3 linked regions of the Ovis aries genome follow. The protein of the gene in region 2 interacts with the protein of the main gene of each other region in a biochemical or structural test. Links are inferred from orthologs where the notes say so. Each region holds a gene or a part of one and is shown on either strand. Other genes may lie near its edges.

Region 1 (4,215 bases), on a different chromosome or scaffold from region 2:
GCAGCTTAGACTTAAACCGAGTTCTACACCTGTGGGCACTTGTAACTCACTGTATAAAAAAGTCTATACTGGGAGGGGACATATATACACCTACAGCTAAGGCTGATTCATATTGATGTTAAGAAACAAAATCCTATAAAGCACTTATCCTTCAATTAAAAAATAAAAAATCTATAAACGTTCTTCACAAATAGGTTCAGGAACAAACCCCAAATTTGAGTTCTAGAATTAAATTTCCTTTCCTCAACAGATACGGGGAGGCAGGGAAGCCGCCTTTTAGTCACAGGCCCACACTGCAAAAATGTTGTCATAGCATTTTTAAAAAGCTTCTAGAGGACTGTTTACATGCTTTGTAGAATTATTCTTGTAAATACTGCTTTTGCTATCAAGTAAAACTTGAAATCAGCTAATCTTAAAAGCTTGGTACTCAATTTAGGTTTTTGACACTTAGTTGAATAAACAAGTTTATTTGTAAATTTAGTCAACATACATAATTGACCTAGAAACTTCCAATAGAAGGATAAATTTTAAAACCACTTGGAAAGCCATCTCTATGAAGTGATTTTCCCAGAACCTATGCCACATGAACACCATTTAAACTGGCAGAGGTTCAATAAGCTGAAGCTGTGTCCCTCCCCAACAGCAAGTTTACCCTAACAGTTATTATAATACAAACCCCACAAGGAAAAAGTTCGGTATTGTTCCTCCTTGGTAGAGAAAAGTTCAACCTAGTTATGAGACCAATCACAACACAAAGAAAAGCTGCACTAACTACTATATTAGTAACAGATGATGCTGGTGTGAGTAACTTGTATTATAGTCTAGAGCCCTTATAAATAAATCCCCCTCCCCGTTAGTGTTTGCATTATCAGCTAGAAGGTTAGTTTAACATGTGGTAGAATGAGGACTTATGCAAGGTATAACGCGAAAAGCATTTTACTACGTAAACAAGTGCAGTCTACTCAGGAGAAAACCAATCGAACTCTAAATTACACACCTTAAAGACAACACTCCCCACCACATGTCAATGTAAAACATTTAATTTAAAAATGTTGACACTACAATATATAAAATAGCTATTATAAATGCACATAGTGTATTCTATAGCTGCCAGGTTTACTTTTTTTTTTTTAAGGAAACTGTAAGTTACACTGTGGTTAAGACTTGTATCTTCACCCTTGAAAAAGCCCACATTCTATCACAGTGATGTATGGTTAGACTTAACAGCCCCAATTGTTAAACACTTGGATCAAGTCATAACCAGTTTTATTGCAAAAGGACCCTGTACACATTTATCAATTCTAGTACCTTAATAGCTACCCAACAAGTCATTAACATACAGAAACATGCATCATGAGAAGCAAGAAATATCACCCATCCCTTCTGCATATTAGCAACTTGTCACTCCTGAGCAACAGTGCTCACATCACTGAGGTCTGTGAACAGTCACTTTTCGCAGTCATCCTGAGTGAAAGATGGAATGACTTAAGTACAAATGCAACATATTATAAACAATTTCTTACAAAAAAAGTCACAAATTAAACCGAAGTATTTTACAGAATTTACTACAAAACACCATAAAAACTGCCTTCACTTAAGCTCTCTCTCCCCGTATCCGGCGAGCCAACTGGATGTCTTTGGGCATGATGGTGACTCTCTTAGCGTGGATGGCACACAGATTAGTATCTTCAAACAAACCCACCAGGTACGCTTCGCTAGCCTCCTGTGGAGGACAAGAGCCACACTATTAGACTCTCTCTGAGGGGGCCGCGCACCAGCCCTCCCCTCCGCCCAGCCGCACACAGCCCCCGCCAGCTCACCTGCAGCGCGCCGATGGCGGCACTCTGGAACCTCAAGTCAGTCTTGAAATCCTGGGCGATCTCCCTCACCAACCTCTGGAAAGGCAGTTTCCGGATCAGAAGCTCGGTGGATTTCTGGTAACGACGGATTTCTCGAAGCGCAACAGTCCCGGGCCTGGAGCGAGCAGGAGAGCGCAAAGGGACACCGGTTACGAAAGCGGCCGGCGAGCCGCGGGAAGCATCCCGCCCGCAGCGCCGCCGAGTCATCGTCTCCCTGTAGCGCTGCCTACCTGTAGCGATGAGGTTTTTTCACCCCGCCGGTAGAGGGGGCGCTTTTCCTGGCCGCTTTGGTGGCCAGCTGCTTGCGGGGCGCTTTCCCACCCGTTGACTTACGAGCAGTCTGCTTGGTTCGGGCCATTTTCTTTTACCTGTAGAAGACACCCGTGACTCCGGGGCCGAGGCACGCTCGCCTCTCGGGGTGCGGCGCCCCGGACACTCGGCGCCCCAGCCCTCCCGCCTCCTCGCGCCCCAAGGCGGACGGCAGATGGCCGAGGGCCGCCGCCTCCTCCCCCTCCCCTAATGACTCAGGCTGCGAGTAGCAGCAGCCTCCTGTGGGAGGGGGGGGCGCGGGGAGGAGTCACTTCCCCTCCTCGACGGGCGGAGGCCCGGCTGCCCGGAACCCAGCGTCGGGACCTCTGAATCACCAGCGGGAAAAAGGCGGAGACGCGGTTCCGGAACGAAACCCCAAGGGAAAACTACCCGCCCCCACAGCCGGCGCCAACAGCCAGAGTAGCCCGCACCAGTCGGCACTTGGCTCTCAACGGCCTCGACCCGCGATATCAACGGCTGGCCAAGCCTGAAGTCACAGATAAAACCCATGAACACTTACTTAATGCCGAAGTTTTAGGCCGCTTCTCCGACCACCGCGCCGCCGCTGCTGCCCAAAGAGCCGCAGTAGCTGAAACACTGCACGAACCCTCCCCAACGAACGACCAAACCGCTCTGCGCGCTAAGCCCCCCTATACCTCGGTTTTTATACCCACGCTTCACGCTGCGTCTCTGCGTCATAGGACCCTAATTTGCATACACCAATGACTTTTTCTATTGGCTGACGCTTTCGCCGACGCGCTGACATCCCCCGACACAAAGGCCGTGCTTCGGCCCCGTTCCCTGATTGGCGGACATCTAGACCACTGATTGGCTGTTAAAGTGGCCTAACGATTGGATGAATGCAAAGAAGAATGGACGAATCAGAGTTTAGCACCAAGCCGCTCTTCTGATTGGATAAAATGGAGCTATGTTTGGATCCTTCCCTTGGTTCCAAAGCTCTACAATAGAAAGTCAATGCAAATGAATTGCACTGGTCCTTATCAGGACTGGTCCTTAATCTGGACAGACCGGAGGGCAAGGGGCCTAACGTTATTTGCATCAAGCTAATACCATGAAGGAGACGGTATTTTCATGAAAATTTTGTAAATATTTTCCAATGTAAAATAAAATGCATTCCCTGTGATTGCTTACTTTTCATGAACATTTTGATAGGTAGTAGTGTAAATGAAAATTAGAATTCAGTAAATCATGTTATCAAGTATTTTATCTATGAGGCATATACATTTTAACCAAAATACAGTTCTTTTGTTTGGTGGGGTGGGGAGAGGTAAATAACAAATAAATAAAAAAGAAACAAATGTCAATAAATTATTTTATTTATAAGGACTGTTTTTTATGTCCTTAGACCACCACAAAACACTGATTTCAATATGCTTACAGTTAAGGAGTAACTTACTAGGCAACATATTTTTTTAAATTCTGTAATTCAACTGAACAAAATCACTACAGCCAGAATGGGAATAGTCAATTCTAAACCAGTATTTGCAAGTATAAACCTAAAGTATAAACAAAAGACTGCTGCTGCTAAGTCACTTCAGTCGTGTCTGACTCTGTGCAACCCCATAGATGGCAGCCCACCTGTCCCTGGGATTCTCCAGGCAAGAACAAAAGACAACTAAATTAAATACGGTCCCTTGTATTTAACGGTCTATCCTTGAATATATTACTTCTGAAGAAACATAAAAATGGTAATCCCTGGAGAAGGAAATGGCAACCCACTCCAGTATTCTTGCCTGGAGAATCCCATGGACAGAGGAGCCTGGCAGGCTACAGTCCATAGGGTTGCAAGAGTCAGAGGCAACTTAAGAGACTAAACCACCAGAGAAAGACTACCCTCAATTTGGCAGCAAGTGACAACTGTCCTTAAGATTTTTTTTTCCCCTCCCTGATAGAAAAAGAAAACACTTGGAAAATGAAAATAATAAATTTTCTATTCAAATGTAAAAAAATAATGGTAATCCCTACCTTTGTCTACATGTCTTGAGTGGATTTTAATACTTAGTTCTTCAGATGATTCAGTTATATA
Region 2 (3,511 bases):
TCTGCTCATGTTACACTACGCTGATTTGATTTTTGCATGTTGACCCAACCTTGCATTCCTGGGAAAAATCCTACTCAATCACGGCGCCTAAATCCTCGTGTGCTGCTAGAGTCAGTTAGTATTTTACCGAAGGTGCTGCATTTATATCCATAACTATATTGGTCTGTAGTTTTCCTGTGATGTCTTTATCTGTCTTTGGTTATCAGGATAATACTGGCCTTGTATAACGAGTTGAAAAGTGTTCCTTTCTCTTCTGTTTTTTGGAAGAGTTTACGAAGGACCAGTATTAATTCTTTAAATACTTGGTGGAATTCATCAATGATGTCATCTGATTCATGGCAGGTTTTTTTTTTTTTTTTCCATGGCAGGTTTTTAAAAGAAAACCTTTTCCTAGCACTAGCAAGTGTCAGAGCATGATTACCTGGCCATAGTCAATCTCCAGAGGGTAGAACTTCTTGGGATGCTTTGTAAAGTTCTTAGAGTGCCAGGCATTTCCGGTTTTCTCTTCATATAATTTCATAAAATGCTCAATGGCATCCTCCTTGGATGGCATCTGCTCCAGTTTGTTACTACCAATCACCGTGCCCACACGGCCCCAGGACCTGAATATCCAGTACCTGTGGGAAGAGGAGAAGAGCATCAGATATAATTTTGCAGGTCGTCCGGTCATATTTCAGGATGAGCTTCCTCTCCCTGCTATTTCCCTTGAGGGAGAAAAGAGTTGTAAACAACCCAAAACGATGGTAACTGACAAAGAGGAACAAAAGGAACCAGTATTAAACAACTTTTATTTTAATTTCTATTAAACTGAGAGTTGTTAAGTTTAAAGTAATTTTAAAATGCCCTTCCATATCATACTGGCAAGTGAGCTATAAAAAGTACCAAAGAACAGTTTAACCTTGGATCTGGCAGCTGAACTTGAGGAGTAAATCGAGGCCTTTACATGGTGGTGGCGGTGGTTTAGTCACTAAGTCATGCCCGACTCTTGCGACCCCATGGACCGTAGCTAGCCAGGCTCCTCTGCCCATGGGATTCTCCAGGCAAGAATACTGGAATGAGTTGCCATTTCCTTCTCCAGAGGCCTTTACATAAAAACATCCCATTCCTTTTCCCAAATAAACACAGCAAGTATTACCCGGAAGTTATGCATTCATTAACGATAGGTACTAAAAGGAATGAAGAACCTTTGACTCAGATCAGAGGCTGAGATACAATGAAATGGGAGGAGGCAGGGGAGTGGTCCACAGGGTCAGCCACCTGCAGACCTAGGCTAATATACTCAGTTTTCATCTCAAGCTAGAGCTAAGTCCCAGGTACTCTAGGGGCAGGGCTGCCTAGCTTTGGGGGAGTGCATTTTTCTTAGTGAAAATCATACAGAAGTTAAATCTCACACCACAGTAAGTACAGATATAGCAGTAAAATCAGAGATTTCAAAGAAAAGCTGGTGCTTCCTGCTGGTTTTCTGGGCTACTGCCCAGAGGCATATAAGTTCATTCTCTGCTGGTTTTTTCCCCCTCTAGAAATGTTTGGAAGATACCACATGGACCTAACTTGTCATCTTCTAACAGCCCATAATGGCATTTCCCTATAAAAACCAATAAATCAAGGCCACCAGGATAAGCCACCCATTTGAAATCACCAGTATAACTTCTTGTGCGTTGGTAGTAGACAGTTCTGTTCTCATTGCCTGCGGTTTACGAACTATAGCACTCTGCGTTTTTACAAAAACCCCATTCCTCCTCCTGCACTCCAATACAAAGCTAGCTTTTGGAAGTTATGTTTTACAAGCAAGAAACCCTATCTTCAAATCTCCAACAAGAGTCAGCAGTAAACTAAATGATATAGGATTTTCTTTACAAACTTTGAATTGCCACACAGATGTTATGTGCCCTTTGAGGTTCACATTTTAAAACCTTCTTTCATTCATATGGATAGACTTGGCAGTCTTTTGATTTCTGGTTGTGCTGTGTGGCCTGTGTGATTTTAGTTCCTCGACCAGGGATTGAAACATGGAGTCTTAATGACTGGACCACCAGGGAAGTCCCCGAGGTTCACATTTTAAATGGCAGGTTTGTGAGAAGCTGAAGAAATGGGAAGAGCCTGAGCCTGCCAGTGCCTACAACTTGCAGCTGCCGAGATTTGCCAATTGCTGACATTCTCTCAGGGGTCTGCCTTTCAACTAGTAAAGCTCTTTTGAATCTCTTGGACTTCAACGGGTAAACTGTTTCCATTTGCTAAAAAGAAAAGGTCAAGTTCAAAATACAAAGTGCTTTTCTGCCGCTATTTGGGTTTAGCAAGAGTTCCTTTCACACACTTCTCCCGCTTACACGTAGCTCCCATTCCACAGTGGCTGTAACAGGGGCCCATCCGCATGTCGGAGGACCACTTCGACTAGGTAAGTACGGGCAGTCAAGCCAGCCCAGTCTCTCAGCATGCTAGGACCGGCTCTTACCTGGCTTCATTACACTGAAAATAAAAAATAAATAAAGAAGCAAACCCAAACGCCTTCGGTAACCCAAGAGCCTGAGGTGACATGGACGACCAAGGACAGCAAGGCTGTCCAGGGCCCACGGCCTCTTCCCTCCTTCACTGAAGACATCACCGCACACCTACGATCGTCGAGAGGTGGCTGGTCCCCAGGTGCGCGGACAGCCCAGCTCCGAGGGGCCTTACTCTCAGGAGCACGCTCCTCTGGACGCTTCCCCGCCCCCTGGCGCACCTGCTCTCTTTGTCATCCTCCAGAAGCTGCAGCTTGTAATAGGAGTTGGTCCCTTTGACGATGTCCACGAGCCCGAGGGTGGCGCTGAAGACCTTCCCACCTTTCTCGAGGACGTGCGCGTTGTGTTCCAGACCTGTCAGGACAGAGCTCCTGAGAGTCTGCCCCCATGGTGGGGGGAGGGAGGGGACCCAGCTGGTTCCCCAGGACCAGGGAACCTGGCAGCCCACTCTACTCCCATTTCCTCACCTGAATCAGGGTCGACGGCTGCTCCTCCTTTAAGAGTTAATTTCATCCTCTTTTCAGATTTGTTGGTACCTTGGAAGGAAACAGAGAAATGCAAACATTAAAAATAAACCAGAAAGGGGAAGGTGGCAGGTAGTGCAAGTGAGTCATCTTTGCCTGTGTCAGAGTCAACACAGGATATGTGTGTTGCCTTTCACCACCTGAAGCTGCTGCCATTCTGTGTCAAGGGAAGACGAACTGAGAAAGCTAGTAGGGGCAGCACTCATCAGACCACTGGGGCACAAAGGGAGAAGCTCTGCATGGGTGGACCCGATGGGGCCGCTCAGGGCCTCACCTTCCTCCTTGACAGGTCCCTTGCTTTTCTTGGAGGGCGCGGTCCCCGACTTCCCCCTTGGGGCCACTGCTTCAACAGGCTCCACCTTCACCTCGGCTCCCCAGGGGGACAAGAGGTGGGTGGAGAGCAACTCCTGAAGGCTCTTGGTGGAGGCAGAGATGTCCTGGAGGAAGTCCTCAGACACGACGCGGACGTTGGCTTCTTTTACTTCCTCC
Region 3 (4,259 bases), on a different chromosome or scaffold from region 2:
AGAAAGGCTTGCAGACAAGATGTTTCTTCTGGAAGAGGCCCAAGGCACTCAAGGGGAGAAGCGAAATCATGTGGAAGAGCTGACCACCAGCCATTGAGCCTGAAGCAGGTGGGCCTGGCCTTTAAGAGTCTGACCACGACAGGGCACCCCGCCCTAGGAAGCCCCTGCCCCCACCTGCCCCTTCCACCAGGTTGGGGACATCCGGAAGCCGCCTGTGCACGCGCAGCCTGGGGCACACCTCTTGAGCTGCCATATGTTCAGGACTCGGATTTCTCAGCAGCTGCCACTACCCAGGAGCCTGCCCTTGACACTGGGCGGAGGTGGGGGGAGCGGAATGAGCGGGGCGCAAACATTCAGGAAGAAGCCCCAAGCACTACACAGATCACTTCCTGCCTGGCTTTATCTTGACCCGCCTGCCCCTCAGATCTGTGTTTATAAACAGCGCCAGGCCCACAACAGCTTCCAGAGCCTCAGTTCTGGGCCCCTCAGGAGCCGCATGGAGAAACAGCGGCCTGGATACAACAGTCACACTCAACTGAACAGGGGCTCCTCACTGCAGGAACTCAGAACTCAGCGCATATGGCTACACACCCTCTAGGGGAGTGCCCAGTCCAACCCTTCCCCGCAACCCCTCTCAGGGGCCTCAGGTGAAGAGTCTCAGATTTCCAAGTGTATGAATAAGTCCCCCTTGCTCTCCTCTCAGATCAGCCCATTTTGCATCCATCCCAAAAGATAAGTCTCTGGTTATCACTATGAAAGGTTTAAGAAAGTGTCTCAAAGAGGGGGTTATTTCAATGACATGTAAAGCACTCCATGGGGACAGCAAGGTGCTGAAGAAGCAGGAAGGTTCCAGAGGATCAGAGAAGGCTGGGTGGCAGTTCTGAGACCCCCTAGGACAGAGGCTCATGGTTTAGAGAACTTGATAAAGGATCAATCTGATCTAATTGGGGAGGGGGCCCCAGTCATGGAAGGGTCAAGTAGAGTTCATCAGATCATATTTCAAGGCCCTAGATGGTATAATAGTTCAGACCCTACTCTCTGGCTGGAGTGGCAGGCCTGCATCTAGAGCCACAGGCCCACAGTGCCCTGAGGAAGTTAAATTTCAGGGCTCCAGGGGACTTCAGGCCATAGGATGCCACCTTGGGCTGGCAGGGTTCGGACCCCTGCATCTCTAGGGCAACTCTCAATTTCTCAAAACAGAGCGGTGGCCGCATGTGTGATGCAGGTATAGGTGGAGGGCACTCAGGGGTGAAGGGAGAGTAATACTGGATAATCACAGAACCATGAGGGCTGTATTTCAGATCCCCGTGGGAAGCAAAGGGAGACGGAGGGAGAGGGAGGAGCGAGAGAGAGAAAACATTTACAGGTCAGGACCCCTGGGAGGAAAGATCAGCGGGGGAGGGGGCGGGGCCTGTCTTGCTAGGTCCCTTCCCCACCTCCGAAAGATGAGCGGCCTTGAGTAAACTTCTCAGGCAAGAACCTAGCCTAGTCAGGGGCAAGGGTTCTGGAGCCTCACCTCACAGGGGCCTCTGACAGTAGATACTTCCCTGGGAGAGAGATGCACCCAGCTTAGTGCCAAGACGGTTAAAAGGGGCCTCAAGCTAGAAGGAGTAACATCCTTGGGATGTAGAATGTGGACCCCAGACAGCAATGCAGGGGAGACAGACTAGGAACCATTTTAAAGAACCTTGCAATCAACTGGGGACATTCCAAGGATCAACGTAAGAGACCCGCAGAAAGAGCAGGGCCTCAGACGCCAGAGCTGGGCTGTCTAAACAGATCTAAAGAGAGGCTGTGTGCGGAGTGTGGTCTGAGCAGTAGACTCGTGATGGCCTGAGTATAAGGGAAGCAGCTGGGGTTGGAAACGGGGTCTGATCCTCCGAGTGTGGAGTCTAGGGCTCCCAGGAGCAGAGTTCACAGCTGCACAAATGCTGTCGGGAGGAGAAAGAGTGAGAAGGAACGCAAAACCCAGGACCTGTGACTGAGAGAAAAGAGTTAGGAAGGAGCTGACACCAGGACCAAGGCTCCATCACACCGGGAAGGCAAGCTCAGGAAGGCAAGCTCAGTTAACACCGCGCTCACTCCGGGGTGAGAAGGGTGTCAGGAGGGGGCGGGGCTCTGGGACCAGAGCGGGAGCTGAATAAGGGCTCTAAACCCCAGCCTGGGGTACAGACCCTCAAGAGACACCCTGTGTTTGGGGGCGGTTCAGGATCCCCAGCTCATCACCCGTGGCAGAAAACTCAGAGGACCCTTCCGAGCAGAGAGCCGCCAAGCGCAGCCTGATCAGCTGGGCGAGGAGACTTGAGACCCAGATGCCAGCCCACTATACCATGGGAAGCGGTGAGAGGCGGACACTCCCCCAAGCCAAAGAGCGCCGACCTCGAGGAAGGGACGAGCAGCCCAACCCGTCACGCTGTCCGGGGGGAATGTGCCTCAAGCTGGAGGCGCGGCCCTGTGCCTGCGTTCAGCGCGATCTGGACCCTAGTCGCTAGGGTTGGAGAGGGGAGGACCCAACCTCACGCCTGGGGGGGCCGAACCCCCTGCTCGGAGACTGGGGTGAGGTTTTGGGGGCCCCGCCCCCGGCCTCCCGCGCCCCGCCCGCAACCGGAGCCCCCAGGCCAGGGACGGGCGAGGGGGCAGGACGCCGAGCCGCAGGCGGGCCGCGCCGTGGGGCCCCGAGCGGAAGGCACAGACCTCGGGCTGCCGCCCGACCCCCGTCCCCCGCCCGCCCTGGCCGGCGCCGCCGCCGCTCACTCACTTTGGCCTCCACCAGTTCCGCCGCCATCTTGGCCACCAGCGTCCCCCGCGCCGGGAGCCCCCAGCCGTCGCGTCACGTGATCGCCTTCCATTCGCGGGCGGGGCCCGCGCCGCGGCCAATTATCACCCTCGCGCCCTCCTCCCCTCTGGCGCGCGCGACCGCGCACTGCGCAAGCGCGCGCGGCACCGCCCGGGCCTCCGGCCAATCAGGGCTGCCCGACTACGCACCCACCCTCCCCGTTTCACTCACTGTGACCACGCCCACCCCTGGCCGTGTCTGGTTTCTTAAAGGGGTACAAGGCCGGCACAGGTTGGGGCGGATACTGGGTCCTGTCTGACGAGAGAGTAGACAGTTGAGGCGACAACAATGCAGCCAGGTGTCGCGGTCTCCTGCGCGAGGCAGCCTCCAGGTGCGTGACCGGACGCCTCGCTGCCAGGAGGGAGAAAATGGTTGGCCCGCGCAGCGGCCGCCACTGCGTGCAGTGAGGCGCCGTGGAGCGCAGCGCGGTTCATTCTCAGCGGGCCGGGAGCCCCACGCGCTGTACATCCGGGTCCTGGGGTGGCTGAGAGGGCGAGGGCGCCACACCCCCTTGGTGCGCCGCCGGCGGAGAAATGCTGTACCCCCTACCCAATTCCCGCGGTGCAGGTGACCACCCTCCCGCCCACTTCCGCCTCTCCACCCACGGTAAACCTTTGGAATTTGCGCTAATCGGAAATTTACCAGCTTTAGAGCTCTCCGTGGCTCCCCAGTGTCGGTGAGCTGCTAAGCCCAAACTTTCTTGTGTCAAAGAAAGCAAGAGGATAAAAACGTATTTCGGGGCCCATCCCTTGAGAAAATGAAGCGCGCCAAATGACTCAGTTATCAAGTTACTAATTTTTATATAAAAATGCAGAAATAGCCATGATGAAGAAAATAATAAAATTTAAGAGAGTATCAGTTCAGCCCTCAGTCGTGTCTGACTCTTTGCGACCCTATGAATCGCAGCACGCCAGGCCTCCCTGTCCATCACCAACTCTCTGTCGTCCCCTTTTCCTCCTGCCCCCAATCCCTCCCAGCATCAGGGTCTTTTCCAATGAGTCAACTCTTCGCATGAGGTGGCCAAACTACTGGAGTTTCAGCTTTAGCATCACTCCTTCCAAAGAACACCCAGGACTGATCTCCTTTAGAATAGACTGGTTGGATCGCCTTGCATTCCAAGGGACTCTCAAGAGTCTTCTCCAGCACCACAGTTCAAAAGCATCAATTCTTCGGCGCTCAGCTTTCTTCACAGTCCAACTCTGACATCCATACATGACCACAGGAAAAACCATAGCCTTGACTAGACGGACCTTTGTTGGCAAAGTAATGTCTCTGCTTTTTAATATGCTATAAGAGGTTATACAACTTTGTATAAGTGACTTCCCTCGCCTCACCAGAACTGTAACTCAGCAGGGTTTTGTTTTACTTTTCTTACAGTTACTTTCTTTTTTTTTTTTTAAGGGTGTGAGAACTTCCCTAGGGG

What was found.
Region 1: the proteins of PARP1 (region 2) and histone H3.3A form a complex in vitro, tested with the Homo sapiens proteins (2 studies listed by BioGRID, with this or other methods). The link is inferred for Ovis aries from reciprocal best matches to the Homo sapiens genes PARP1 and H3-3A.
Region 3: of the proteins of PARP1 (region 2) and PIAS4, one has a biochemical effect on the other in vitro, tested with the Homo sapiens proteins (3 studies listed by BioGRID and IntAct, with this or other methods). The link is inferred for Ovis aries from reciprocal best matches to the Homo sapiens genes PARP1 and PIAS4.

What each region holds. Positions count from the first base shown.
Region 1 is NC_056064.1:55,163,204-55,167,418, reverse strand, and holds the start of histone H3.3A, read right to left. Parts: upstream 2,811-4,215; 5' UTR 2,689-2,810; intron 2,228-2,688; 5' UTR 2,218-2,227; coding exon 2,090-2,217; intron 1,975-2,089; coding exon 1,821-1,974; intron 1,724-1,820; coding exon 1,595-1,723; 3' UTR 1-1,594. UniProt on the Homo sapiens protein: Variant histone H3 which replaces conventional H3 in a wide range of nucleosomes in active genes. Constitutes the predominant form of histone H3 in non-dividing cells and is incorporated into chromatin independently of DNA synthesis.
Region 2 is NC_056065.1:28,672,606-28,676,116, forward strand, and holds part of PARP1 (poly [ADP-ribose] polymerase 1), read right to left. Parts: coding exon 3,297-3,511; intron 3,035-3,296; coding exon 2,966-3,034; intron 2,853-2,965; coding exon 2,720-2,852; intron 618-2,719; coding exon 422-617; intron 1-421. UniProt on the Homo sapiens protein: Poly-ADP-ribosyltransferase that mediates poly-ADP-ribosylation of proteins and plays a key role in DNA repair.
Region 3 is NC_056058.1:17,802,337-17,806,595, forward strand, and holds the start of PIAS4 (E3 SUMO-protein ligase PIAS4), read right to left. Parts: upstream 2,811-4,259; 5' UTR 2,786-2,810; coding exon 2,759-2,785; intron 1-2,758.